Linked DNA regions of Oreochromis niloticus. The protein of the gene in region 3 purifies or fractionates together with the protein of the main gene of each other region. This does not show direct contact. Links are inferred from orthologs where the notes say so. Each region holds a gene or a part of one and is shown on either strand. Other genes may lie near its edges. The genes, in order: nup62l, nup88, nup214 and kpnb1.

What was found.
Region 1: the proteins of nup214 (region 3) and nup62l purify together in Homo sapiens (affinity purification with mass spectrometry; 5 studies listed by BioGRID and IntAct, with this or other methods). This does not show direct contact. The link is inferred for Oreochromis niloticus from reciprocal best matches to the Homo sapiens genes NUP214 and NUP62.
Region 2: the proteins of nup214 (region 3) and nup88 purify together in Homo sapiens (affinity purification with mass spectrometry; 6 studies listed by BioGRID and IntAct, counting the BioPlex papers as one, with this or other methods). This does not show direct contact. The link is inferred for Oreochromis niloticus from reciprocal best matches to the Homo sapiens genes NUP214 and NUP88.
Region 4: the proteins of nup214 (region 3) and kpnb1 purify together in Homo sapiens (affinity purification with mass spectrometry; 3 studies listed by BioGRID and IntAct, with this or other methods). This does not show direct contact. The link is inferred for Oreochromis niloticus from reciprocal best matches to the Homo sapiens genes NUP214 and KPNB1.

The regions. Positions count from the first base shown.
Region 1 is NC_031987.2:16,402,539-16,409,468, forward strand, and holds nup62l (nucleoporin 62 like), read right to left. Parts: upstream 2,825-6,930; 5' UTR 2,644-2,824; intron 2,525-2,643; 5' UTR 2,519-2,524; coding exon 998-2,518; intron 907-997; coding exon 748-906; 3' UTR 509-747; downstream 1-508. Other genes in the region: pdk1 (pyruvate dehydrogenase (acetyl-transferring) kinase isozyme 1, mitochondrial), read left to right, coding at 3,785-3,893, 5,210-5,351, 5,453-5,524, 5,614-5,798, 6,899-6,930. UniProt on the Homo sapiens protein: Essential component of the nuclear pore complex. The N-terminal is probably involved in nucleocytoplasmic transport.
Region 2 is NC_031979.2:33,379,443-33,387,052, forward strand, and holds nup88 (nucleoporin 88), read left to right. Parts: upstream 1-4,616; 5' UTR 4,617-4,726; coding exon 4,727-6,886; 3' UTR 6,887-7,333; downstream 7,334-7,610. UniProt on the Homo sapiens protein: Component of nuclear pore complex.
Region 3 is NC_031972.2:19,143,037-19,150,855, reverse strand, and holds the start of nup214 (nuclear pore complex protein Nup214), read left to right. Parts: upstream 1-4,818; 5' UTR 4,819-5,010; coding exon 5,011-5,052; intron 5,053-5,745; coding exon 5,746-5,941; intron 5,942-6,083; coding exon 6,084-6,238; intron 6,239-6,367; coding exon 6,368-6,566; intron 6,567-6,659; coding exon 6,660-6,730; intron 6,731-6,820; coding exon 6,821-6,884; intron 6,885-7,089; coding exon 7,090-7,193; intron 7,194-7,819. UniProt on the Homo sapiens protein: Part of the nuclear pore complex. Has a critical role in nucleocytoplasmic transport.
Region 4 is NC_031969.2:34,683,149-34,690,889, reverse strand, and holds the start of kpnb1 (importin subunit beta-1), read right to left. Parts: upstream 3,010-7,741; 5' UTR 2,702-3,009; coding exon 2,662-2,701; intron 1,828-2,661; coding exon 1,769-1,827; intron 1-1,768.

The DNA.
Region 1 (6,930 bases), on a different chromosome or scaffold from region 3:
CTTTATTGAAGTCCCAGAAACTTAAGTTAGACCCTGATCCTTGTGATGGAAGCGCTTTGAGTATCTCCAAAAGGTTCCTGCAGGAAATTATTACTGATGTAAAAATTTTCAGCTGCCACTCTAAAAAACTAAAGAGCAACAAATCCTGCATCCGTTTCAGTCGAAGTATTATGTGGCCTGTTCAATGTGCCATGTTGACAACCTTTAAAAAACAGTTATCTTTTGTAATAAGAGATATGGCTTGTCTGCACCAGAGGGGCCTGCAGCGTGGTAGAAGTTCATGTTTGCCTTACTTGTCCATCAACAGTTTGTTTTTTGTTTACTGTACAACCTTAAAGCTGTAAATACAACAAATCAATTCCATCCACACCTCTCTTTTCAAAATACATATGCTTAGCTGTAATTCAGCTATTACAGGGGCATCGTATGTGTGAACAAAGCATTCCCTCTGACATATAAAAGAATGTATTTAATGCCTGATAATTAAAAGAAACAAAACAAAAACGACTTCCATTCCAAAGGTTTATTTAATCAGACTTTTTAGAACAAACATAACAATTGACATAGAAAGAGAGGATCATTTTCACTGCTCTAAAGGCAAATGCACTGAAAATATCAATCTTTATGCAACCAAGAAAACTCAAAATAACAGTAATGAGGGTTGGATCTACACCATCTAAAGCCCTGATGACACCTCTGATTACAGAGTAAAAATGTAAGCATACAAGTAAAAGTATTTAGTGCAGATCAGTCGAATGTTAATCGGAAGGTTTTCTCCTGCTCCTTTCGCTGAGTGTCGCAAAGTTTGGACACTTCCTCGACCTTTCTCTGCAGCAGAACAGAGTTCTGATCGATCCACTGAAGTGAATCCATGTGGGCGTTGAGGATCTTACAGATCTGCTGCAGCTGATGATGAAAAAAGGAAATTAGACATGAATTACGTGAGCAAATCTTTGTTAATCTTATCGATTATCAAAAACTGGAGGCGTCATCTTACCGGATCACTGGTGTCAGCCGGGCCGCTGGACGTGTTCAGGTGCTCGATGATCTCCTTCAGGTCCTGCGACATCCTCTTCAGCTGTGCGTCCACGTTCTCAGCGAGCTTGTATGTTCTTTCACGCTCCTCGTCGGCGTTCTGCATGTAGATGGTTCCACTTTGCTCTTTCACAGACTCCTCAAGGGGGCAGAGCAGATCCTCCAGCTCCTTCTGTTGGGACAGGATGAAGTCCAGCTCCTGGTTCAGCCTCCTCTGATCCAGCTTCACCTTCTCCATCTCCTTGTGGAGGGATGTGATCTTCTCTCCGTTCTCCACCAGCATGCGGTCCCAGGCATTCACCTGAGTGGCCTGCTGTAAGAAATGTCTCTCCTGGTCCTCCAGCTCAAGACTCCACTTGTTAATGAGCCCCTCTAGCTGGGCATAGGTCATCACTGGAGGAGCTGTGCTGGTGGTGCTGGCTGTGGTTGTGGCTGAAGCAGCTGTCGTGGTGCTTGCGATCGATGCAGTTTTGGGTCCCAGCGAGAAGCCTGTAACAGTACCCGTCGTGGAGGCTGCAGCTGTAGCGGTAGAGGCGGGGGCAGATGTGGTGGTTGCTGGAACCAGAGGTTTGATCATAAAAGTCAAACTTCCACCAGTAGCCGTGGTTGTTGCTGTGGATGTGCTTGCTGCTGAAGCTGAAACGGCATTGAAAGCGAAGCCAGGACCTGCTGCTGTGGCAGCAGCTGTTGTTATAGGCTGAGCGAAGAGAGAAGGCCCGAAAGATGGGGGGGCCTGGGTGGATGCAGGAGGAGCTGGGGTTGATGACGGTTTAATCCCAAAGCTAAACCCTCCACCCTGGCCTGTTGTGGCGGCGGCGGCAGCAGCAGCAGCAGCAGCAGCGGTGGAGGTTGGCTGGGCAAGGCTGGAGGGAGCACTGGTGCCGAAGCTGAAGCCTCCACCTGTGGTGCTGGTGTTAGTTGTGGTGGTGGAGGCTGCCGCTGATGTCACCTGGACCTTGGGACCTCCGAAGCTGAACCCTCCAAATGCGAGACCACTCGGGGCTGTGGATGCCGCCGGTGCGGCTGTTGCTATAGGCTGGGTTTGAGCCTGAGATGCAGCTCCAAAGGTGAAGCCCCCTCCTGCAGGTGCAGTAGCGGTGGTCTGCGCAGACAAACTTGCACCCAGAGTGAACCCCGACCCTGCTGCTGGAGTCGCCGTCGAGCCTAAAGTCAACCCTGAAGCTGCTGTTGTGGTTGGAGGAGCTGCATTCATTCCAAACGTTGTGGTGGGTGCCCCAAAAGAGAAACCCCCGCCGGCTGTTGTGGACTTTGCTGGGGTACCAAAGCTGAAACCACCGGAGGGGTTGGTAGTGCTCTGGGTCTGGATGGGTGAGCCGAAAGTGAAGCCCCCTCCGGTGGCAGGAGTGGACGTTGTCAGTCCAAAGCCGGTGGTAGGGGCCGGGGCCGGGGCCGAGGCTGTGGTTTTCTGCGTTCCGAAAGTAAAGCCCGAAGAGGGCTGCCCAAAGGTGAATGGACCGCTCATTTTCTCCTTAAAGATAAAACAATAACATTATTAAAATCGACTAACGCACAAAATGGTTACTTCCTCGCTGAATCATTTGGCTTTTGGCGGGTCACAAACACACACACACACCAGGGGGAACTTACCGAAGAATCGGCTTCTCTTTTACGACGGCTTTCTAGACGTTGGGGTCTAATAAAGTTGACTACACCCTTCTTAATGTTACTTTAATCGTAACAATGATAAAAAAATCGCAACATATCCTTCTTAAAACGTGGCCAGCCGCCTCGACACTTTTTCAAGTAGGCAGTTCGGTAGTCAACTACAGGAAATGACGGCGTTTGGCGTGAAAGATAACCTTTTTCTTTGCCCTGTATTTTGTCTAGCGGAGTATAACCCGCCTTTCTTAGTAATATTGGCAGGTCTAACGACCAATTAGAATTATAATTTCAGACAACTCGAACTTTGATTGGTTTGGCTTGTCACCTGGCAGACATACGTCGGAGAGTAGTACGCTCAAGTTATCAAAGACCAAATTAACAACAAGAGGTATTACGTTTGTACGCAGTGCGAGCTGCTTCCCACTTCCCATCAAAATCGAAAGTTACATAAAATGAACATTGTTTTATATAGTTAAGATACAAATAATTTTAAGTAACAAGAGGGCGCGTTATTATAACGTTTTTCTAGAGCAAAACGAATATTTTTCTATATAGTTGCACACGCCTATGTTAGCTTAACTCAAAAAATTGCTTCAAAACCACAAGAAACCAGTTCACAAACTTTACGGGAACTTCTGAAAAACTCCTCGATTTTCTTTCAACGTTAAAAGTTTGGCTGTGTAACGTTTACCAATAACGTTACACCAAATTTGGGTCAATAAAGTTTGTTTGAAGAGGTAGCTTATCTTGACGTCGCTGTGACTCTTTGAACTTACTGGCCGCACACTCTCCTTTCCATGGTGACAATTTTCTACCTCTTCCAGGCATCCCACCACGAGAAGCTAAAGGCAATTTAGGAAAACAGTGCTGGAGCTGTGAGAATGGAGGCTGAAACGGCACCAAATTAAGAAAAAGCAAATCATTAATTATTTGTGTGTTGGCAGGCTGTTGAGGTTAGCTAACAAGCTCGTGTCAACACAGATTAGCAAACCAAGCTGCAGCCCTCGCTAGGCTCTGTTGCTGTGGATGCTAACTGCGATTAAACCTAAAAAAAGAGTACCGTTTGTTTATTTATTTATTAAGCAGCAGTCACAGCTGGAGGTGAGGCAATACAAAACGTGCAAGCATGAGGATTTTAAGGTTTCTGAGGAGCAGCGTGTCCATAGGGAAGGACATCGACTACTATTCCAAATTCTCACCCTCCCCTCTATCAATGAAGCAGTTTCTGGATTTTGGTAAGAAGCTGCAAGACTAGTAGATATTTACTAACATAATGCTTTACTAACATCGTTAACGATACTTTGACCTAAAATAAGGAGAATCTTCATACAACGTGTATGATTCATACACATTCTGGAAACTAACTAATATGGAAATAGAAAAAACAAACTAATGTAAAGTTAAACCGAGGATAACTGCCATACAAACAGTCCTAACACAAGCTTTTCCTTCTGTCATGTAAAGGTAGTTGATACCAAAAGAATGTATTTCACAAGACGAATGATACTCTTAAAATCATCTAGCATCCCCTTATTACACTTCCTTGTATTTAACAGGAAGGGATTTTAAAGTATCTCTTCACACATGACTAATGGGATATAATATATGCCCTGTTTGTGTAAGTCAAGTTTGAACACTTGTATGTAAGAATGAAGGTTAGGCCCTTGTTTGATTGGTTGATTTTCTCTATTTCATGATGAAAATGGTCCAGTTTGCTGAAACTATGGAAAGTTTACAGTTTATAAGAGGTTATGGAGCCTGAATGGTTTGGGGGTAGTTTTGCATCTGATATGTAATCCAGCCTTGATGATGGAAAAACTTTTATCATGTTACATTTACAGGATTGTGCAAAAGTGTATATTTATTTGAGTAATGCTTCTAAGGACAGACTTTATTAGGGTTCATAGTAATCTTTGCATTTGTTTAAACTGGAAACTGGACAAGTAGGGAACAAAAAAGAAGTGCCAGGCCTAAAAAACTATAAAAACTATCTGCAGCAGATGTCTTTGTAGGTTCTCAGTCATCCTGTTCATGGTAGTTTAAGGAGCTGGGAAAGAAAGTGACTGGACTTCTATAAGTGTCTTGAAGACGTTTCACCTCGCATCTGAGAGGCTTCTTCAGTTCCAAAACCAAATGCCCGAGAGTCCCAAGTATTTAATCCCTTGTGGGAGTTCTCCCTTAAGAGGTTTGACCAAATTAAAAGACAAAACCCACTTCTTCAAGAAACTTACAGAAGTCCACTCGCTTTCTTTCCAAGCTCCTTAGACTATCATGTCCTTTAGAAATGGGGAAAAACTATAACAAAGAGAGTTCAGGCTGTGTTGCTGAAGTATGGACTATCAAACTTGTTTTTGCCTTTGTGTATTTGTATTTCTATGTATCTTTGCACATGTTTGCTCTACCTGTTTCCCATTCTTCAAGCAAAATATTAAAAAATGAGGCTGACTTGAGGCTTAATATTACACACAGAGAAACAGCTGTCTTGTTTTATTTTACACTTTATCCCTTTACTGTAGTAAGGTGGCATTTGAGCCTTTTGTTTCTCTCTCAGGTTCAGAAAATGCATGTGTGAAAACATCCTTCAACTTCCTCAGACAGGAGTTACCTGTGAGGCTAGCCAACATCATGAAGGAGATTAACTTGCTGCCAGATAACTTATTGAGGACCCCATCAGTCCGACTGGTCCAGAGCTGGTATGCAGGTTCTCCTTTTTTTCCACTTAATTTTAATGAATTAACAGTATTTAACTCCTGCCAGTCTGTGAAATACAAAAAGATCATTTTCCTCCGTGTAGGTACATGCAGAGTCTTCAGGAGATTCTCGAGTTCAAAGACAAAAATGCAGACGACGAGAAAGTCACATATGAGTAGGTTTCCTCTTTTAACCACTGCAACAGCTCATCTATTCCTGCAGATTCTTTTCACGCATTGCTGTAATTTTTATGTCTTCAATTAGTTTCACAGATGCTGTGATAAATATCAGAAATCGCCACAACGATGTCATTCCCACCATGGCTCAGGGCGTTGTGGAGTACAAGGAGGCGTACGGCACAGATCCCATCGTCAGCCAGAATGTTCAGTATTTTCTGGATCGCTTCTACATGAGCAGGATTTCCATCAGGATGCTGCTCAACCAGCACAGTGAGCACATGTTATATTTTTTGTAATGTGATTGCTGAGCTGTACTTGTTTGGAAATGAAAGCCCTCGGGTTCAGGAGCCAGACTTCTGTGCTGATAAGATATCTGAGGTTTCAGGCTGTCTGCATCATTTTAAAACTGCTGCCACAGTAAACCCGGAATCAACTGACCCCACCCAGTGTCATTTTCTGGCAGTTACATGAAAATTAAATGACTTGTGTATTGTTTACAGACAGCAAAGACCAAAACAAGCTCACTTGCCTAAAGTTACACTATAAAAACATTGTAGATAAATAAATATAATATGGCTTATTTTGGACATCACTAAATACCGTGTTTCCTCCCTTGAGATTCTCTATCATGTCTTTACCGCAGCCGCCTTCAGCTGCTGCTTGTTTGTGGGTGTTAATGCTTTTATTTTCATATTTAATTGAACAGCTGCTCTATTGGTTCTCTGAGGTCTCTTAGGTTAAGGTCTGGGTTCCACAATCCACAATGCACCAAACCTCTACGGCCCCTCCTGCGGGTGGTGGACCCACGGGAGAGTGGGCCTGACCACCAGTCTCTCTCCTGCAGGCTACATAGCCCCAACTGAGTTATTCAGAAGGGGCTCAGAGTAGAGTTGCCACTTTTCCACATCTAAAGGAGCCAGTTCAAGTGGCATCTGATCAGGATGCCTAATCAGTGCACGAGGTGTTTCAGGTATATCCTACCAGGGGAAGGCCCTGGAAGAGACCTAGCACATGCTGGAGAGATTATGGCTCTCTTCTGCCTTAGGAACACCTCAATGTCCCCCCAGATAAATTGGAGGAGGTGGATGGGTAGAGGGAGGTCTGGGCATGTCTGCTTAGGGTGGACTCCGTGACCTGAACCCAGATAAGTGATGAGTGGATGGAATTTCAACCAAAGATTTTATTAGAATTTCCTGCACATGGTGACACTGAAAGAACTTGTTACGGCTCAGGCCTCCTCAGGATGGTACTGCTCTTCAGTTTTGTTTTATCTCTAATCAAAAGGTCTCACATTAAACCCTGAACTTACAGAGACAAATATCAGTAAGTATTAATACTTCAAACTGTTCATATTGTGTGTTTTTCTGTAGCTCTGCTCTTCGGAGGGAAGGTGAATCCTGCA
Region 2 (7,610 bases), on a different chromosome or scaffold from region 3:
ACATGTATAAAGAACACAACACTAAAATGCCAAGTCATGCAAAAAGTTTGTTTTATGAATCATTTATTGTAGATCAATGTGTTTACAAAATGTCTAGTGAGGAAGAGTCGAACACAAACTTCAGTGGCAATTTTAGATACAAGGCAAGGGCAATACATTTATTTTAGTTCTACCCAGGAGAAAACTTTGTATACAAAAAGAATTTGAAGTTCAGGAAAAAAAAAATGGTGAGATTGTTGACAATTGTTTGACACTGAATACCAAAATGAGGGTGATGACTTTAAACTTTCTTACAGTTGAAAAAGAAGAGACCCAGTGTTTTAAAAAATATCTGGGAATGACTAAAGAAAACTAAAGTTTAATGGTGGACAGATGGTATTTTGAATAAAAGAACCAGCTTTAAACACTCAGACCCTCACATGTCTGCAATATAGATATTTATATAGCAACTGCTAATTAGACCAAAGGTGATATTTTCAGTGGGTTTTTTGTATTAAAATAAAAACCAATCTGTCAGACTTCCAGGTAGATTTGGGAAAACAGGAATAATGGATGCCAGTTGATTTGTGAGGCATAGGAAACAAATAAACCATTCTGGCAATAAAGGAAGTCATATCCCTTAGTGAAACTGTGTTTGAGCTGACTGGATGTATACTGGACCAGTGGCGTGTTTGTCTGAGTGCATCTGTACATGGTTGAGTGTGTTCCTGGGGGCGGATTACACAATCATTTCCAGCTGTCGTGCGTATTCGATGACCTGTTGTGCCAGCTCAGTAGAAGGGATGTTCACCTCTTCTGTCCGCTGTTGCTGATTGGTGAAAGAGTAATAGCCATCTGCACTCAAATTCCATCCTCTCTGAAATGGGGAAAAATGTATTCATTTAAACAAATAAAAATAAAACGAAAATCAACAGTTACAGATTGCTCATGTAGTTATTTGACTTATTATAATTTAATTATAGACAACTTGTTAAGGAACATCTGAAAACAAACAGTAAAATTTATCTTTTCCATCTGATGTTAATCTTTATGGATATTACTTATTTTTCAGGTTCTGCCTATGCACAAGTTTTATCTAACATCTGGAGGGACATTTTCTGTATCTTAACAAGCCAGTTTCTGACAACCCCCCTCCCCATATCCAATCATAATGACATCTACAACATAACACGTTAAATAAAAACTAACTTAGACTTTACATAAATATTTCAGGCACCAAGGCCACCTGACAGCCAGTGTTTACCTAATAAATCTTAATAAGCATTTGCATAAGCAACAGAGTTAAGCAGAAACTTAATTTCTTTAAATCATGTTATCACAGCAGGAATCTAATGTCTCCTCCTCATAATCTCTGGATTCGACTACAGGTTTGACTCCCAAATAAAAACAGACTTACCTTCTTGGCATACTCTGTCATCTTTTTAGGGGAACTGAAGAAAAGCACACGGGTAGCTTCACTGAACTGGATCTGCTCATACGCCTTCTCTATGCAACCTGCAATCTCATCGCTGCAATTGAAAAGGTCAGCTTTAGTTAAAGTCATCTTCAAAGGACAGAGTTGTATTTTTAATGACGTTTTATACATTTCTAGATTATTATGCCACAACACCGTGAAATAAAGTTGTTTTTTTTCCAGAGTTCACAGTACAAATTAAGAAACATAAAAAATTAGACAAAGACAGGAAAGATGTTGTTTAAGAAGTTGTTTAAACTGCCATCTATTTCACATTTGCTCAGGTTAAAGTATTGGTACAACTATGAGAGTAAAATAAATCATTGTGTTTGTTGTGTTGAGTTGTCTTTACACTATTCGCTGTAACTATGTAAAATAGGTGTGCAAAAACTATTTTTAATCTAACTGTTGTTATGTGGTTGTAGGCTACTGATAAATATTTTAAAATTTACAGCGAATGCAGAATGTGTTAAAGGCATTGTAATCATTACGGTCCTTACCGAATTGTGTCCAGAAGAATATCTATAAAAAAAGGTGTAGCTCTCAGCAGGGATGTTGCCTTTGGCTAGGAACACTTTGTTGTAGCTTCCCTCCATCAAGTACTGAAATTAGCAGAGAGAGAATAAAATATTAAGATTGCATTTACATCAAAGTTACTATAACAGGACTTAAATTATTGTGTATAAGTAAAACTCCAATAAGCCAAGCATTTGTCCAAATAAATATTTAGTTTGTGTAAATTAATATATATACACCTTCAAATACACAATGGGTATAAAATATCAGAGCACACATTGATCTATCTCAGGCCAAAAGCAATCTATTAAATCTTAGTGAAGCATATAAAGGAATTACTGCAAATAGCAGTCAAACATAACCCTCTGGTGCAACATCTACTGTAGGATCAAAACTATTTTACAAATGTAGCTTCAATAATTTCAAGTCAACACTAATGCTAGCCTGACACTAATGATATTAGTGCTTCATCCCAGCTGACTGGTAAAAAAAAAAAAAAAAAAAAAAAAAGTCATCTGGAACCTTATATCACTAATTTTGAGCAATTTAAGGGTACAAATTTCCAATTGGACACACAAATTGTTTTTTTTTCTTTAACACCTGATATTGCACAATAAAAATCATCCAAATCAAAATCAGGCATTGTCCATGAGTAAGCTATAGCACCTGCTCTAGAGACACTGGGTGTCTGATGTACACGTTGGTCTGAATATCTCTAGCACTCAATCTTTCGAGTTCTGTGTGAAACTCAGAGACGCGATTCTGCGAAAGCAGGAAGAGCAGGTTCAGTCCAAGTAACTGATGCATGTAGGCAGCTTCAGGCAGCTCTTCTCTAGAAAAGAAAAAAGAAAAAGATGTAAATAATTGCTTCAGTTACAAAAAGACCTCAATCTTGGGCAACAAATTCTTTAAGAGAAAGTGGCATTTACTTGTAATCAAAGTAGTAACATTTTAGCTGGGCCATGTATCGCTCAAAGGATGGGATGTCCTTCTTGAGGATGCTCCATAAGGCTCCGATTTCAAGGACATCACCTAAAATACAAGCATAAATTGTACTTAGAAATTATTTTGCAAGTAACTTAAAAAGCTGTTGTGTTAACTTGTGGCAGCTTGATTTGCAGGTACTCACGAGCTAAAATGAGCTGCTGCTTGGTGAGCGAGGATCCACTGGTAGGTAAAAAGTTCAGATCCAATAATGAAATCTGTTTAAAAAAAAAAAAAAGATAAATGTAACAATGTAAATCTAAATTACATTACATATTATTTGTAACAGAAGCAAACCCCAAAGTTGGTTTTCATTGAGTTCTAACAACCTACATAACCTTATAAAACGTTTATTTTGATGTCAGACTCCTGTTGAAACTTTTTTCCTTTGTTTCTCAATCAAACTCTGTTTTTAAAAATTAACATTTACATATACAAAGCATCTCAAAGCCAGGGTTATCTCACAAGAAATAAGGAAGAAACAAGGAAGAACACAAGATAAATATACAGAGGAAAAAGCAGAGTTACTTGTACACATTAACAATCTAATTTATCAAAGTTATATTTTATTGTAACCGTTTTTTTTCCTTTTCAAGATCCTTAACGCTAGTGCTGTGTTGTAATAGTTCCTAATTAAAAAAATGAATAAATCAAAGCTTGACTTGGAGATGGTCCATCTTGTTTTGTTTTGTGAATGTGAAATTTCCCCAACATCATCATTAAAACCCACCAGAAGGCAGTTGTCCAGTAGGATGTCCTTAGTAAACGAGGACAGCAAACTGGTGACATAATGAACCAAACCAAAGATATCAAGAACCTTTTTTGTTTTTAAGCATTGAAGAGAATGCTAGTTGTGTATAGTTAGGGGGAACATTTCAGATTCCCCTTGGAATGCACTTGGTTATTACATTTGTATTTTTTGTCATTTAACAAGAAGCTGCAATGAGCTCTTTATCTCCAAGTGGCTGTACCATACGTGGAATTGATTGAATTGAATAGGTGTATTTTATATATGGGCTAATATAACTTTCATAACAGTTGCTTCTTAATAGAAATATAATAGATTTGACTGACTTTGCCTTGCAAAACTGTTTGTATATACGAACAATTTTTGAATACGAAAAACATCTTTGCTGATGTCCTTATCACGGGTCACTTTTTTTTTTTAAAGGTTCTAATCAATTTATTGGGGCACCTCTTTTTAGTGATACCTGCTTCAACTCGGCTTAAACTTACCAAACAGAAAGCTGAGCTAACGAAAGGTACAGTGACGTTAGCTTTCATTGACTAAGTTAATCATTTGTTTCATCATTATCCTAAAATGATGATATTGTTCGATCCCTCTCCAAACATTTGTTTGTAGTTAGCAAGTGAAAACTCTACACTATTCTACCAAAATTAATTTAATTATCGATGTTTATCCAGTTGCTCACGTTAACGTACAGCGTTAGCTGGGCTAGCGTAAGTTAGCAATCTGTTTGCTAACAGTGCTAACGTTTACAAATAGAAAGACTTCCTTCCTACAATCAACCCTGGACAAGCAAATGTGCGACTTTACCTTAAGCTTACTCAGAAGGTCTCCACATTTGTTTAGGTTTGGATTTTTCTTGTTCCATTCCGTTTTAAGTGTCTCATACAGCCCAGCGGTCTCTTTCAGCGCCATGGTGATTCTGCAAAATATACGACACCGGCCACCGTAACACGTTAAATGACTGTCGTGAAAAAAACTAAAACACGTTACTGCTTCCTTCAGAAATCAGACAGTTGATCAAGATGGCGGCACTCAATTCAGAACAGTGGCTGAATGACTTACCGAACCACACGATATTCAAAATAATACGCGAGAAGTTGGATTTGGAGCGCACCTCGAGTGAAAGAGGGATCGCTAAGAACCTCACGTTTTGTTTGGGAGCGGATTTTTTCGTGTGGGACGATTCAGACCGCGTGTTTTACACAACCAACCTGCGGCAGTTAAACACAGAGGAGAGCTCCAGTAGCGGGAAGTATCAGACCTTGCTGTGCATCAACCCGCCGCTCTTTGAAGTGTGCCAGGTGCTGGTGAGCCCGACACAGCACCATGTCGCGCTGGTCGGTCAACGAGGCGTCTCGGTCCTGGAGCTTCCACTGCGGTGGGGCAAGAGGTCCGAGTTTGAAGGCGGACGCAGCAAAATCAACTGCAAGACAATCCCTGTGGCGGAGCGCTTCTTCACCAGCTCACCGTCGGTCAGTCTGCGACAGGCGGCTTGGTACCCTAGCGAGACTGACGAGCCACATATGGTGCTGCTCACTTCAGACAACACGATCAGATTTTACGGCTTGAAGTCTCCGCAGACATCGGCCAAAATCCTGCCAGTGTCGCAGTCAGAAGATGAGAGCAGCCTCCACCCTCCGGTGCGTTCGTACGCAGCTTCTCTGGGAGAGATAGCAGTGGCGTTTGACTTTGGGCCGATTTCATCCCCTCCTCGGCAGCTGCCAGGACAGGTCTCCAAAGACCAGCTGGTCTACCCTCTCTATATTCTTTACGAAAATGGGGAGACCTATGTGAGCTACACGAGCCAGGTAAACGGTATAAGTCTAAGTAAACCCGTTGGACCTCTCCCCATGTATCCAGCAGCAGAGGATAACTATGGCTATGATGCTTGTGCCATTCTGTGCCTGCCATGTGTTCCGAGTATCTTGGTCATCGCCACAGAAACGGGCACACTGTATCACTGTGTTGTGCTGGAGTCTGAAGAAGAGGACGACACGGGGGCAGTGGAAAAGTGGATCCGAGGCACAGAGACAGTGCCAGCTCTTTATGTGTTTGAGTGTGTTGAGCTAGAGCTCATACTTAAAGTGGCAACGGGAGAGGACGAGGAGCCGCAAGAGTTTGATTTCACCTGTCCAATCAAACTGCACAGAGACCCCCTCTGTCAGCATCGGTATCATTGCACCCATGAAGCAGGAGTGCACAGCGTGGGGCTAATCTGGGTCAACAAGCTGCAGAGGTTCCTTAAATCAGATGAGGAGGATAAGGACAGTCTCCAGGAGCTGGCTGCTGAGAAGCGCTGCATCGTAGAGCACATTCTTTGCACCAGACCGCTCCTGACCAGTCAGTCGGCTCCAATTCGTGGTTTTTTGATTGTGTCGGACCTCGCCTTGGGCGCCACCATGATCTGCATCACCAGCACTTACGAGTGCATTCTGTTACCCCTTCTGAGCTCCATTCGCCCTCCCTCCCCTCCCCTGCTTTGCTCCCACCCAGGTCTGGGCTCTGCCAGCTCCCCTCTGCGTGGGCTGGCCGAAGACTCCTTTGAGCAGCACATTCGCAACATCCTGGCACGGAGCTCCACCAATCCTCTTGTACTTAAAGCTGGAGACAAGGACACATCACCACCACCTCCAGAGTGTCTGGAGCTCCTCAGCAGAGCCACACAGGTGTTCCGTGAGGAGTACATTCTCAAGCAGGACATGGCTCGTGAAGAGATGCAGAGGAGGGTGAAACTCCTGACAGGCCAGAAGAACAAGCAGCTGGAGGAGTTGTCTCTCTGCAGGGAGGAGAGGAAGAGTTTGAGAGAAGCAGCAGAAAGATTGGCTGATAAATACGAAGATGCAAAGTATCGCCAAGAAACCATTATGAACAGGGTTAAGAAAGTGTTGTGTAGCCTGCAAAGCCAGCTACCCATACTGTCAAACAGTGAAAAAGAAATGAAGAAGGAGCTGCAGACCATCAATGATCAACTGAAACACCTGGACAACTGCATCAGACAGGTGAACATGAAGATGGAGTACCAGAAGACACAAGTGGACAAGGATATGCCCGGAACTAGGGCAAGAGTCTCTCTCAACGCTCCCCAGAAGAAGGTTGTTCAGGATGTCCTCAAAGAACAAGGACAGCAAATTGGTGACATGATGAAGCAGATCAAAGACATCAAAAATCATTTTAGTTTCTAAGCACTGCAGAAAAATGCTAGTTTTTTTCTGTATAGTTGGGAAAATATTTCAAATTTTCCATGGAATACACTCAGTTATTACATTTGCATTTTTTTTCTGACATTTGTTAAGAAACTGTAATGAGTTCTTGAGCTCTAAGTGGTTGTGCTATGTTCTTATATGCTATATCTTATATGCGCTAGTGTAACTTAACCTTTCATACCAAATGTTGTTCCTTAATACAGAATACAGAAATACAAAAGGTTGGATTTTCTCTTACAAAAAATTGTATATTTTTACATCAATATTTTTTACATGTTAATGATTGAGTCACTAACATACTCAGTTTAATGTCCCATGTATAGGCAGGAAAAATTAAAAATAATTTGTGCTAAACTAACCTTATACAGCTGTTCAATTTTGTTTGCTCACTTTTTTGCATAAAAAAATAAACTTGAAATTATTCAACTTGTTTGTGTCTCAATGTAGGATGGCTACAAAAAGCAGAAATATTAAGAGACAAATCCAAGTTAACAGTTTTATATTGAGGTGTATTAACTGACATGTTCACAGCTGCTGGTTGCTGTATTTGCCAGAGTACTTGGAGAAACCCCGTGTAAACAGGGGGAAGATGCAAACACCACTCAGAATATCCCAGTTAATAATTTAACTGCGAAAAAAACAAACAAATGTGAACCGAGCTAAATAATCCACGTCCTGGTAAGATGTTTGAACTTTTAAAGGA
Region 3 (7,819 bases):
TTAAAACTAAAGAGTGTGCTGTGCCCATGAGCAGAGGAGACTGGATATATGGAGTAGTAAAGAAGTGCACTACACTGGGCGGTAGAAGAACGAATGTTAGAGAGAAGCACTGTTCCACCTCGATGATGTAGTGGTGGTGGTGTGATATGCACCGATACTACGCAGTCCTGCTTCCTACCTGGCTGTTTGTTTGTTTTACTGTTTGTTCTTTTTTTCTTTGGGTGGGTGGGTAAATTATTGAATCAAACTTATAAGAGCAATTTATGCTGGCTTATTGCATTTGCACTCAAAAGAAGGTAAAGGGCCGAGAAGCTGAGGGAGGTAACGTGGACCTTTTTAATTGAGAGGCTGTAACGACAACACCTGAAACGAGTCTCTCTGACAATGACTGTTTCTACGTTTTGGAGAGGGGGTGGGGGGAGCAAAGCAATGTCCAACAGGGACTTTAAACCTGCATTCGTCATACCTGATTTCTTCTTTTTGATATCTGTTTTTTGCCACACAGCCTTTCTTCGTTGTGCCATGCATAGATCTTCCCTATCTCTTTTTTTTCTCCCTATCAGCAAACGAAAGCACAGAGATTCATTTAAGTGAAAGAGAAGCCGCCAACATTTTGGGGAAAGTGGGTTTCTGCTACAGAGAGTGAGAGGTTAAGTTAAGAACTGACAGGCTTAGTACTAATACTATTCTCCAAATATATGCTTTGCCACTTCATGAGCGGGGCCAGACTAGTCTCTGTCTGTGCTCTTGTTTCAGGGTCTGTTAGGGGAAGTTTTAAGATGGCCCTGCACAAGAAACACAGGGTTATAATTGCACTAGGTAGTAACAAAAAGGTTTATAGTGTTTATTTTCTTTGGGAATAAATGCGATCTGCCGTAGATAAAACAAGACTGTGACACGATGGCTGGGATGATGGATGAATGTAATCTGTAGCACTGCTGTGGTGAGGGTCCAAGCTTTGATTTGAGTATAGTAAATTCTACAAAATATGCCATAATATAAAATTAATGTGAGGCTGGGTGGTGTTTAAACCTAAAGCTTTATTGATATAGTGATTTTTTTTTTTTCTTTTTTCAAACCACGAACAGGTCTTCCAGTGTAGTGAACATCGTTATGTGCAAAACTGAGCAAGGTTCACATGCAGTGCAGACTTTTTCCCTCTGTTTATTTGATCTTTTTTTTTAACACAGAGATTTTGCAAATTGTACCTTCATATCATTTTTCGTTTATTATTCTTACAGGTTTTTCTTGCAGGGAAAAAAAGAAAACAATATTCAGTTGTCTATTTGAGCCACTTAAATGTCTGATCACTTCTGGTTATGCCAGTCAGAGTAACAGACTTGAGAAATGGATATGTGTAGCCTTTATTTTGGAAAATATAGAAAGTAGCTGTTATAGCTTCAGAAAAAAAGAGAGAGAAACCTTTCTACTCAGTTGGTAAACTGGGCAATGAGTGTGATATGCTTTGTATTTAATATTTCTCTCTGTGTGTTTTTGTGTAAAATAAATCTTTGATTTTGATCTTTTTGAATAGGCGGACTTTCGCAGAGATACTAAATACATGGGGAATATGAAATCAGCTGCAATTAAAATAAAGCAGTAAATAATAACGGGTGGGAAACATGGATATGTTCCACTGTAGTATTAAAGGGGTGTGGAGCAGTGCCTTAGACTGTGAATGTGTGGGTGTGGATGTGTGCCATTACTTTGTGCTCAGAAGCAAACAAGACCAAGGATCTACTAAATATAGCCAGATAACACTTTTTTTGGGCCATTTTCGAGTTTAAAATTCCAAACTAGTAATTTTTAATCTAATAAATGATATTAATAATGTAGTCATTTATTCACCTTACATTCTTGCTTTATGTTTTCCATCATGTTGGCTCACCAGCCCAGTATTACATATTTACAGCACACCTCTTAAGGAATCTGGTTGAACACCCTTGGAAGAAATTCAAATGAAATCTCATTCGTAGTATAGTCAAGTATAGTCAAACCTGTTCATCAGTTAATCACATTTAAGGTGTGGCGGGCTTTTGTTGTTGTTGTTTGGGGCGGGGGGGTTTTCTTTCTTTTTTTACGCACGGTTTCCTTATCATGCGCCGGTTTTGACCAGCTCATTCACCTTTTCTGCCCCGCTGCAAAACAAAGCCATCAAAAAAAAAAAACAAAGCAGAAAAATAATCCTTTAACAGCACTTGGGGTTTGATCCTTTTCTTGTGCAGGGTAAATGAACGATGTTGCACTATAAATGGAGAATATCATGGTTAACCCTTGGGAAGATTGACGTGGCCAAAAGAGAAAAGTCCAGTTACACGTATGTTATGTATCTGACGTGTTTCTCATTTATATCAAACTTTTAGTTTTTCTTGGATGGTTATTGAATAGAGGGTATTTTATTGCAAATAACTTCTTCCTCACTTTGCATCGGGCTCTGCTCACCCCCACACGGACACTGTAGTTTTTTGTTCCAGTGACTGGCTCATCATGAAAAACAATACATTTATATGCAAAGAGACACTTGTACCATAAAATGCATGCCATTCGCACACTCACCGCAACCCAATGAAACCTCTGATCTTTATGCACCATGTATTTTATGCTGAATAACTCTTGTCACTGTTAGTAAACAAAGATTGAGGTGTCCTGTGGTGAGCAGGGCTGGATTTTTTTATTATACAACCTGGCCTTTCGCTGAATGTTTGCATAAAGCTGAATTTCTTGTATTAATGACAGCAAAGTAGTGACAAAGAGTGGAATACAGAGACCAAGTACACAGTTCAGTGTGTTCACAGCTCAGCACACTCGGAAGAAAATGCACTGAAGGTTTGTATGTGTATTTACGTGTCCTTGTACATAACGCCAGCACTTTAGAACTACTTGGAAAGGTGAAAGGAAAAACACTGAGAGCAACTGGGTGTTAGGCAAATGAGGGGTAAATGCAACTTTTAAAGCCATGTGTTCAGAGCGCTGACAATCAGAATAGGACGAGACCCAAAGTGCACTATGGGAGATACGGTATGACTTGCTATGTGCTCTTGCTGTTTGCTTTGTCTTTCTTCAGCTTGCTTCAGTCTGTGCTAGCTTCCTTTCCAGAGTGGAGGGACATGGTGATGTTATCTCCAGCCTTCTTGGTTATAAGTGTGTGTCTTTACAACCAGGACTGAGTCAAACTTTGGTGCTTTGCAAACAGAGCTGTCCCCATGTTGACATGGACCATATCTGTCATGCTCTGGTAAGCATGTTCTGGAGGTGGTCCTGAGCCCTTTGATGGACAACAACCCTACACCGATCATGGTAATGTTCTTCACTATCAGCTGGGCTTGGATCAGGCAAACTGGGATGGGACAATTTCAGTGTTGATGCCGCTTTATGTTTCAAATGAAAAAGATGTTTATGCGCCTTCTGACTCAAGCATCAATAATATATACAACAGAAATGCAAGTTGCCACTTTTGATGTAATCTACCTTTCATTCCCATCATATTTGCCATCACCAGTTTTAAGTTGTATAGTCCAAGAGTACCCAATTTCTTTAAATGCAATACAGAAAAATCTGCTTTCTAATAAAAGTCCTTACTTCACCATATACTGTCTTTTGTCTCTCTTTGCGTTTGCCAAAGTACCTACAAAAGGATGCACTTGAAATATATTTTTCTCTGGAAGTTGCAATTTATTGTAGCTCTGCATGGCTTCAAACATGTAAGTAATGAGATTCCAGCAGAAAGAAGACAAATTAGTGACAATAATAATTCTCACTGTCTGTGCCACTGAGCTGTGAAATGCTTGTGTCATTAAAATGGTGTTAAATTTTGCTGGATGAGTCACTGGAGTCCCTTCAAAGATGAATGTAACATACAGTATACAGCCAGTTTTATTTCATAAAGGCACAGGTTTAGAATTGCAGGCAACACTGGATCGATCCAAATCAACCATCTTAACCTAAGCATTTCATCTTTATGATATATAAATATTTATATGTACTGGGGGGGGCTCTTATTAAGCTACCACTCATTCTTACAATCTTTTTTAAAATTTATTTTGCTATGAAAATGAGAAATACTGAAGATGCAGCAGTTTATTGAAACATGCATGAATATATGGTATGTGAGGTGAAAGAATGTGTTCAACTCTAACAAGATTGAAAGTCGGTATTTGGTATGACTACTTTTATCCTTGAATACAGCCTGAACTCTTGTAAATTCTTGAACTAGTCTTCAAGGATCGTTCTCCAGGATTCTTGAAGGACAATCAGAGCTCTCCTTTGCTGGCTTAGCTGGCTTTTATTCCATTCCCTGACAGCCACCAGTCCATTTAGATAATTTATGCTGAAGCTTCGAACAGTAGAATTGTAGATTAACTATTAGCCAACACTATTATAAGTTTTGGTTAATGGCTCATGGAAATCACTTTGTTGGTGGAAAAAGTGCTATTATATTACTGTAAAAAGTGTGACCTTTTTAACAGTAAGTAAAAAAAATGCATAAAAGTTATGTTTTCGTATACACACACGTGTGGGTATGTATGTATACATATATGTATATATATACATATATATACACACACACACACACACACATATACAGTACATATATGTATATACAAACTTACACACAAACATAACTTTTATGCACTTTTTTACTTACTATTAAAAAGGTAAAATATATACCTTTAATTATATATATATATATATATATATATATATATATATATATATATATATATATATATATATATATATACACACACACACACACACACACACACATGCCTTTCACTCAACCTTTAATTGCAACTCTGGAACATACGCGACTGTATGAGCTCGTGTTCCCGCAAGCTGCTCTGGTATCTACTCGTCATCCTAGCTGGTTTTTGTTTTTTCTACGGAAAAATCGCGCGGTGTGTGTTTAGTTGTCCTGATGTAGCTAACCAAAACTTTCTGTGGTACATACTAGCAAGAAATAAACGAATACAGCAGGTCTTTTGGAAGAAAAACCCTCAAAATTTCACAATGAGTGACGATGCGGACTCCCCTCCTGAGAGGGAAATGAAGGTATGTCTCTGTTAAAGTTGACTTGACAGGTTAGCATGTGTAAGTTACCGTGTCAGTTCATCCTCAATGTAGTGGCTAGTTTAGCTAGCTAGCTAGCTAAACAAGCCACTTGTCGTGGGTTATGTTTTCTGGTTTAGGTATCCTTAGCCTCACGATATTTACTGAACTGTAATGACTACTTTGATACGATAAAACATTAGAGACTTTCACAGCGGTTTAAAAGCATTTAAATTAAAAGTAGTTACGGCAGTTTCATTCATGCCATATTTTTAGCCCGCTACTTAGGGTTAGCACCGTAGCCGGTGTGATGTTGTGCTTGTAAAGTTAAACGCCGCTGTGTTGGGTGGATTCGTCCTATTAAATTATGCATTTGTAAAATAACGTGTTCTAACACACGTTGCATTTTTTTTATGTTTAAGTTTTATGTATTGCTGTAATATTACAACAAGCCTTGCACCGATAGCTAACACGATATTGTAACGTGTTAGCATTGTGCTAATTGAGAGGCATTACAAACATTTGGCTTTGAGATCACCCTTCAGGCTCACCAGCTAGCTTGTCAACAATGTTTATTTACAGTTTGTATTATTCTGTCTCAAAGACGCTGCGTTTGCATTTACCTAAGTGGACCCACAGTTGTTAACAGTTCATAACAGTTTACCATGAAATGAAAGTGTTTGCCTTTCGTTTTAGGATTTTCAGTTTCGTCAGATGAAGAAAGTCAGAGTGTTTGAGCCCACCGAAGATTTGCCAAAAGACAGATCCAGCCTCCTTGCCATCTCAAATAAGTATGGCTTAACTTTTGTGGGGCTTGACAGAACTTTCAAGGTGTACTTAACTCGAGATATTCTGGCTGCTGATAAAGGTGATGGCAACTCCAACGAAATAGGTATGAATCCACTACAGTTTTAAATAGTGCAATAATGACAGGTTAAAAACACAATGTTGTCATGACTGATACACCACATGTTTTATGTCATTAATAATTTTTGCTGTTTCACTGTCCACTAACATCTTCTTCCGTATTTTAGTCAAAGGAATACCAGTACTGGCTGAAGTGACCGTGGAACTAGTTTTGCACCACTTGGCTCTCAGTTGTGATGAGCTCACACTGTCCGTGTGTGGCATGTCTGAGGAAGCTGGCTTGTCACTCACATTCTATGATGTCCGCACGTTCATGAACAAGGTAGTTATTTCAGTCTGTCTACCTAATGTGCTAACACAGTCGAACAGCTGCTGCCAAATTTCACCTTGTCTGTTAAATGTAATGATGTTGTCTGATTTTTGTTTTAATTTGCATTCTTTGCTTTTCCAGGGAAAACTACAGAAGCTACCATTTGCATTCCACCAACCAGCTGTAGCACCTGACGTCTTAGTGCAGGACCTGAAGTGGAATCCTGTGCAGGTGTCTGTGTTGGCTGTCTGCCTCTCTGATGGCAGTATAATGATTTTGGATGTTACTGACAGTGTCAATGTGCAGGCCAGGCTGCCTTCTTCAAGTGGAATTACCTGCAGTGAGTGACACTCTTGACATAATTGCTAAATTTATCTGCAGTCCATATCGGTGATGTGGCTCAGTAGTCGTTTACTTGCTTTGTTTACCACAGTTTGCTGGAGTCCAAAGGGAAAGCAAGTAGCAGCTGGAAAAATGGATGGTACAGTCACGCAATATACACCAGTAAGTTATTATAATAATTTTGAATTAAAAGCAAATTGCTTAACAGCCTGTGGAAGCTACAGGAACAGATTTTTCTCCTCTGTTTTAAAGGGACTGGAGGAAAAGAAAGTTATCCCATGTCCACAGTTCTTCACCCCTGGCGAACCTGTAAAAGGTAAGGTAGCCATACCTATGTATATAAATTTAAACTATGAAAATGGTCCATACACTAAGGTTTTTATCTTGGTGGTGATAGATTAGTAATAGATTGCAATGATTCCATAAAATATTTCAAATTGTATAGGAAAAGGAGGAGCTGAGTCTTGCTGTTTCGTTGATGTTCCAATTTCTTGTCTCTCTTTCCTATTTGTCTCTCACAGCTGTGGATGTACTGTGGCTGAAAACCTATGTGTTTGCAGTAGCATATGCTGCTGGAGATGGCTCACTTGAGACCCCCCCTGAGCTAGTGTTGATCTCACTCCCAGTAAGTATGCCAGGCATTGGTTTTTAGATAGATTTTTATCTGGGTTTATCAGGTTTATAAGACTCTGGTTCTACTGTCGAACTGCTGATCAGAGTATGAAGCTCAGTTAAGACCATTTATGGGTACTGGGGGAAAAAATCATCACTGCAGCTCAGTTATGGAGAAAGGAGTTAAATTCATTATCCACATTTTCATCTTTTACCAAACTTGAATTTTCCTTGCTTGCGTTTCTAAGTTTTATCACATACATTTTAAAATGTATTTATATATCAGCAACATGACAGTGATAACAATTCAAGTAACAGAGTTAAACACATGTATCTAGCAGATTAGTTATTGATCCGTGAAGTGTGTGAAAAAGATAACCAAGGTTCAAACTGTAACAGTTCAATTTATACTCAAAATATAAATGCACAGCAGTTTTTAAACATTGTTTACAAATATATTTGTGTATTTATGTTTAACATAAATACATTTAGATTATGGTTAGGAATTCATTAGAGCTGCTTTTAAGTCTGGAAATCTACAAGTCATTTGATCACAGTCATCTTTATTCAGAAATATTCACATCATCCCCACATGAAGTGAAACAGAGCTGGAATGATCCAGCAAACTGATCATCACGA
Region 4 (7,741 bases), on a different chromosome or scaffold from region 3:
CAACATGAAGTCTGTGTCAGTTTGCTGGGCGGAGCATTTAACACAGACTTAGTGATCGGATCGCTCACTCTGCTTCCAGACATCCTGCCAGTCAGGTGAGGCACACCTGACCCCGTCGCTCTGCTTCAGGCTGAAGGACGGCGAGCTACAACTAACATCAGACCAGAGAAGAAAACAGGTGAAGATATTTTTGTACTAAAATACTTTTCCCCTCACACCTGATAGGATGCAGCGTGCTCCTGCTGCCAGAAGGTGGCAGTAGCACACGCAGACAGAGGCAAACAGCAAAGAACTGCCAACTACGTTTCTTCTGTCTGCAGGACGCCATCAGCGTCACGCCTCACGCAGGTGTCCAGGTGCTCTCAATCAGCTCCAACGAGAACATTTATTCTTCTCTGGACAGACAGCTTCCTGTTCCTCTGCAGTGAGCAGACGACCACAGCAGCACACTGTGTGTATGCAGATGTTCTTTAGCATGCAGAAACCACGATCCAGCTGAAACATCTGGATTTGAACTGAGTCAGTTTTAAATATTAGATCAGTGGTCTCTCGGGCCGCAATGGCGGCGTGTGGCAGGAGTTATGGACCTGGTCAGGTTACACTCTGCCGAGTTTACGGTTTTATTGTCAACACACTGTAAAGCGGAGGGGCGGGGCTTCATTTATAACTGCAAGATAAACGGTAACTGTTCTCACCTTTGTCTCTAACACCGAGGTCATGTGACTACAGAGTCTGATATTTATCTTCTTGACGCTACAAAAACTACAAAATAAAAACTACAGAAAGTCGTCTTTGATTTTATTGGTCCGACGATGACATCACCTCACGCAGCTGACGATCATTAGGAGTGTCTGTGCGTATAAACAGGAAGACACATTTCTTCAGGTGAACCTGCTGCTCAGGATGGCTCACCTGGTCTCCCAGTGACACGTGACAACAGCACCCACGTGGTCACAAACTACACCGCACACCGCCACGGCCCCATGGCGGCTTTACTGCAAACCCCACCGGCCCTACCCCAACTCCCCCACCATCTGCACCTTTTAGTTGGAGTTGTACATGCCAGTCACCACATCTGTAAGCACATTTAAACATTTCCCTGAGTAACAAGTAAACCACGTACCCACATCACCCTAACTCATCAAGCCCCGCCCTCACTACAGAATATCAGTCAAAACTAACCACACATTGAAGATGAGCGACCCGTGGAGACGGCCTCCAACCCTCACAGAGACCCTGGAACAGCTGTGACCCTCACACTGATGTTTCACAGAGAGCCACCTGCTCACACCTGCCGGTCACACCTGGTCACAGAAAGCTGCTGTCATGTGACCAGCAGAAACAGCCCGTTTACGGGGTGTTTACAGAGATATAGTCGCTGGACATACATATTTATACTTGCTACGAACCACTTCCTGTTCTGCTTGAAGTTAACATCTGTACTTAAATAGTATGTGAGGGCAAGGTCAAAGGTCAGGACCACAAAAAGGGTATGCAGAAGTGTGGGAGCATCACCTTCGCCCTCTGATGAAGACCTTGAAGTGGCTGAAGCATGCAGACCCTGGCACGGTCATATCAGGAGCCAACAGAGGCTTTCACTGTGACACATTTATGAACAGTGTGTGTGCGTGTGTTCGTGTGCGCCTGTGCAGAGGGAGGAAGGGGAGGAGGAAGGAGGAAAAGCCGGCGGGATCCAGCAGTCCTCGGCCCCAGTCCGCTCCTCTCCTGCAGCAGCCTGAGCTCCGACTGCTTCTCCCTCCATACTCACCAGGTTCTCTATGGCCGCCTGCTCCAGAAACTTCTGCGCCGCCTCCAGCTCATTCCGGTCTGCGGACAGAGAAGAGAGGAGGGGGCTGGTTAGCGGACGGGCTAACACACGGTGGTTAAACGTGTTCAGCAGACGTTCACACACAAGCACCTGGGCCCGGGGTCGATGTCCCGCACTAATGAGTCACCTCAGAGTCAGAAAGTTTAATTCCCACCCCGGTGAGAGCCCTCTGTGGTACCGAGAAGCACACCGACCCTGCAACATGCGCGCTAGCCACCTGCACTCTGCTAGCAGGCTAAAGCTAGCCGACACGTTTCCAGAGACGCGCATGAAGTTTTATGTGCAAACAGCGGAGCCGCTAAAACTTCGTCAACTCCGCTTAAAGCAGCGGAGCAGAGGTCACCTCACAACCAGAGCGCTCGCCTGTACCCGCGGCGACTCTAAAGCGGCGTTACCCGGGAGCACACACCGAGAAAGCGGTCGACAGTTTGAATGGCCCGAGCTAGCGAAGAAGCTAGCGGCTAACCCGGGCATGGGCAGGGTCGCGGCTTCTGATTGGGGACATACAGCCGGCATTACGGCCTATGTGGGCCCGAATCGACTTGATGACGATATGACAGCGTCTTCTGGTTTCCCGTCCACAGGCTAACGAGTTACCAATGCCAGTAAAGTGTGCTTAAACGCCCGGAAGAGTGCTAAGTCACCAGCGGCGTCAGGCCGTAACGCTAGCGGGTTAGCACAGTGAGCTAGCATGGTTTCCCTCCTCCCTGCTTCCAACTTTCCCCCGTGCTCCGGGGCAGCCCGCCGTCTCGCAAACACCGCACCCCCCGGCCCGGGGTTCGGCATCGGGTCCGGGTCGCCGGCTGTGTGCGGTGCGTGGTGCAGGGACTCACCCGGAGAGACGGTTTTTTCGAGAATCGTGATGAGCTCCATTCCTTCCCCCGGCTGCCTCTCTTCAGTCCGACACTTTCGGTTGCCGCGCAGCGCCCACAGTGGATTATATTTCTTCCACGGAGCTCGGTCGTTGTCAGGCACAGGACGGGTTGAGTTGGTGATACAGGTGGCGGAGGTTCCCCGGTGTTCGTTCGGCGTATTCTCACTCTGATGTTGCGGGAAATGTTGACAGCGTCGGCGCAGAGTCACGTCTCGTCTCTTCACCTCCGCCCGTTCGCATCCTGTGCTACAGGGAGGGAAAGGGCCGCGCGCTTCTCTCCCGCGGAGGGATATCACGCAGTGACGCCGAAAACGTGGTGCCTTTAGGGACCGCCGGACACCATATCATCCTGTCTCAGTACACTGAGATTTCATTTCATTTTTGTTTCACACATGGTGCAACAGTAATTCATTTCCTACACACAAACCTTCCTTTCAATTAAAATAACACTGCATCCATGCTTGAAAAGGAGCAGGAGCTGATGACTGAAAATATACATATCATACATCACTTTTAAACTACACAAATACATAATATCTCATTCTACACAGTTTATTTTTTATGTATTCATTCATTTGTTGAAAATATTTTCTTTTACATTGCAGTCGAACAGCTGTTAGTATTATAAATACCTTTCCATTAAATTAAATTGGTAGCTGGGATAGGCTCCAGCCTTCCTCCCACTAGAACCCATCCATCCATTCTTTTCCATTTATCCAGAGCGGGGTCGCAGGGGCAGCAGCCTAAACAGAGAGGCCGATACTTCCCTCTCCCCAGTTTATCCGGGGGAACACCAAGGCGTTCTCAGGTCAGCATATAATCTCTGCAGCGTGTCCTGGGTCTGCCCCGGGGCCTCCTCCCGATGGGAGGTGGATGGAGCCCAAAGCTGACAAAATGAGACGTTTGGAGGAAAAAGTACGCTGAGCGCAGTAATTGTGCTAAAGTTTGCTCAGCTGAAAACGTTTTCTTTCTTCAAAGATCCCTTTTGATGCTGTGGATTCCGAGCTACACAGAACGCAGCAGCAGCACGCACCTCTTGGCTTCTTTTCGGCGTACGGAGTCTCTCCTGCAAGTAACTAAGTACTTGTACTGGTACCTGTAGCTGCTCTGCGCTCCAGCTGCTGGTTTGTGCTGAAATCACGTGTCTGTGAGTGTGTCGTTGAACCTGCTGCAGGACAATGTCATGTTTTCTGTCCTCAGACTGACGTGAAACAGGAAGAAGACAAAGACACCAAACACACACAAAAACATAAACAATGACGTCACATGAAAGCGCTGTATAAAAGCAATTACAGGAAGTCAGCAGTTCTGTCAGCAGCTTCTCCTCAGGTCGTCAAAGCCTTTCGATCTTCAAGCTCCTCCTCCGTCCTCCTGCCTGTGGCCTCCATTAAAGGAGAGCTCACTTTATTTTCTGTTGCCTGGACTCCTCATCTCTGGTGGGAGGCCGAGCTGCGAGGAGGTGGTGAGGCCTGAACCAGAAAGTGATCGTTCAGGTCAATCATGCAGAGGGCAGCAAGAAGTGCTGCTGAAGGAAAGGACTTCCTGAAGGAGAGATCGGAATCTTGTTGTTAGTCGGTCCTGTCTCGAAGCCTCGAGCATCTCCATCATCATCTCCGAGTTCTGAAACCAGGCGCGATTAAAAGGTCTCAAGACACCGTCGTGATGGCTCAGAGCGACATGAATAAAACTGAACTGTGACAGCGCTCTGTGGCCCTGGTGGAAATATCACCTCACTGCATGGACACATCATCAGGCCGACCTGCAGCTGCCAGTGTAAGTTGGACTCGGACTGATGGGTGATGGACAGGTGTAGACATGGCTCTGGTGAGGAGGGCTCCTGGATTTGCAAGAACAGGCTGTTACAGATAACACCAGAGTCATACGTTCTTCCACGATGTTGGAGAACTCGAGCACGAGCCGGAAACCCAGAAAACCTCCTGTGTTCATCCCGGTCTGCTCCAGTCAGTGACAGGATATTTAGAATGTTCTGCTTTTAAATTTTATATATATGAGAGAGAGGGGTTGGGTGTCACTCCTCGACTTTGATTCAGAGGTTTTTACTAAAAGCAGCTGCAGACATTCATACTGACACATTTATGATTGTGTGTCTGACTCTGTGTTGATCTGTTTTAGGACTTTGAGGAAAGTGCTCCATAATTTGATTTTTTAAATATATAATTAGAGGAGAGAGGCCACAGCCAGGTGAGTGCAGGTGAAGTGACGCAGGAAAAGTCTGAATAAAACACGTCGAGCTGAATAAAGAGACACAGCTGAAAAACAAACCCATTGCTTCTTTATTAGTCATTTTACAGTAGTCACTCATACGTAGCTGCCTTGAGTTGGTCTTTTTGTGTCTATTTACCGTTTGTTCCAACATCTTCCTCTTTTTTTTTTAACATCAACACAATGGAAGAGTCATGGACAAAGTATAAAAAGAACCCAACAGAGGGAAAACAGGATAAAATGCCCCTTTTCACAACAAAAACTACATTTGGCAAAAGGTGAAGATGAAGATGATGATCCAGTGCATCTTTAAAAAAAAAAAAAAAAGGACATCAAACACCACATGATTCAGTTTTTACTAAGAGGAGAGCGCAGGTGTCCGACTCGAAAACAGTTTTCATTACTTAGCAATTATCGTCCAGTCACATTTGACCTCCTCATTTGTTGCTAGCTGAAGCGGCAGAGAGCATGCGAGGCGCCACCCCTACGAAAAAACAAAACAAAACAAAACAAGAAAAAAGAAAAAAAAAAAAAACCCCTCATCAAATAGAAAAAATAAAATATGTTTAAAAAAAAAAAATGACCCATTCATATGCTGACAGTTGATCTGGTGCGTTTATGGCACAACAAGGCGTCACAGGCGATTTGAAATTTACCCATAATACTTTTATTTCACAGCCGGTAGCAGCCCAAAGTCGACGCACTGCTGCAGGAAACACTGCGATACCTCGGCTGCAGCGCTGCAATATTCACTCATACCAACTAACAGAAGGTGCTGATGCTGCATTTTTTTCCTAAGAATTGAACACCGGCAACGGTTAACATATTTAAAACAAACAGCAGAAAATGACTAATAGCAGACAGTAAACAGTTACGATCATGTCCCCAGAAAGACGTGAACACTTTACTCTAAACCAAAAAGCTAACACCAATTAGCTTGAGAATGTAATCATTACAAAAAAAACAAACAAAAAAAACAAAAATATCAAACAAACAAAAACTAAACTTTTAGACCTGGTTAATCTTTTCCTCCACGTTTATTTTTCTGACCAAGTTCTGAATCAATGTTAGCTAAACCTCTGGGTATTTTAGCTCCTCTGAGCTAGCCTAAAGAATGTAGCCATTTTCCCGCTCATTTTCTTTTTTTAAACTTTAACAGTATCAGGTATTCTTACCCAGCCAACCCTAAACCTCTACAGCCTTTGCAGTTAACTTCAGCTAGTCTGATAAATCCAACCCTTTTCCTGCTTATTTTGGAATTTTCCTGACAAGTTTCAAAGCTAAAATTAAACAGAATTAGCTTGTTAGCTTATTGATAAATAAAAATCTCCCTAACAAAAAAAAAGTGTTTTGTTTTTTTTATTTTTTAGTTTATACTTTAATAATTTAGCTAGCTAAAACTAATTCTGTTATCTTTAGCTGTTATAAATTAACTTGACAAATTATTTCCTGCCCTCAGGTTTTAATATTCCTGTCCAGATTCTCATGTAAGTTCCAACATTATATTATTAGCTATTTTGCTCTATGCAATTTACTCAATTCTTTAGTTTTTATTTTTATCTTTAAAGAGCTAGTGTTAGCGTGTTAGCTGGCTAACAACAATAAATCCCTAAATTAAAAAGGGTCTTGTCGCTAATGTGGGTTAGCTAGAGGACGTTTTCACTAATTTGACGTTTTTTGTCCACTAGTTTTAATAGTCTGAGTGATATTTGAGCAGCGGAGGTAAAGCAGCACTGACTGCAGCTAACCAACTTGCCAGCTGGCTCAAGGCAATCCATTTACTCTAGTCTATCCTGAAAGTAAGTTTTAGTCATTAAAACCGCTGTGATTTGATCGGCCATTTGATGTGTCGCAGACGTGTACATCTTAAAATACAAACATCACAAAATAAAAAACATTTTGAACATCACCCTCCACCCACAGGAAACTCAGGCAGTTCACATACATCAAGAAAAATAAACCCAACAGTTACAGCTGAGCATCTGGACGTCATTTATGAAACATCTGTGCGACTTTATAATTGAAATTCCCTGCTTTTATCCATGGAAACATGAAAAAAAACAAAACAAAACTTTGCTCAAATACAACTGAATGCTTTTTCATAACTGACGCCCACAAGAAACGACCGAAGCCCATTTAAGCCAAGAAAACAAACGCTTCATGAATGAAACAACTTAAGACCCAAAGTCATCATCTTGATTTTCTCGGTCGCAACTACAGAGTGACTAAAATTAAGAAATAACCTGAGACGAGTCAAGAACACGACAAGAAACAAGATCAACTGATGGCAAATCATAAGAAAAACTAGGGATATGATAAAATAAGTCTATGCTAAATTAAGATTATTAAAACAAAAGCAAGATTATACACACACACACACACACACACACACACACACACACACACACAGGATTTATAAAACAAGTCCAGACGTGCTTCTGCAAACTCGATTTTGGACTGTTCATCCATGTTTTTCTTTTCCTGGCAGAAATAGGTTTCTTCAGCAAACAGATTCATATTTCTCAAAGTAATCTGAACGATGCAACGACAGGAAGCTGATCAAATGGAGTGTGAGCAGCCAGAAAACAGGAATGTCTCCAATCGGAGTGGATGGAAGCGCTGCTGTGGCACAAAATAAATAGAAAACAGAAAATCAAAGACAACAAATACTCCTGAGAAAACTGATGATTGATCAGAGGAAGCTGATCGAAGGTGATGGACACAAGTATAAAATCAAACAGGGATGATTGAGGCTCAGTTTCAAAAAGCGTGATCAGTCTGATCACGCACACGCTCAGAGGGAGGAAGAACACCTG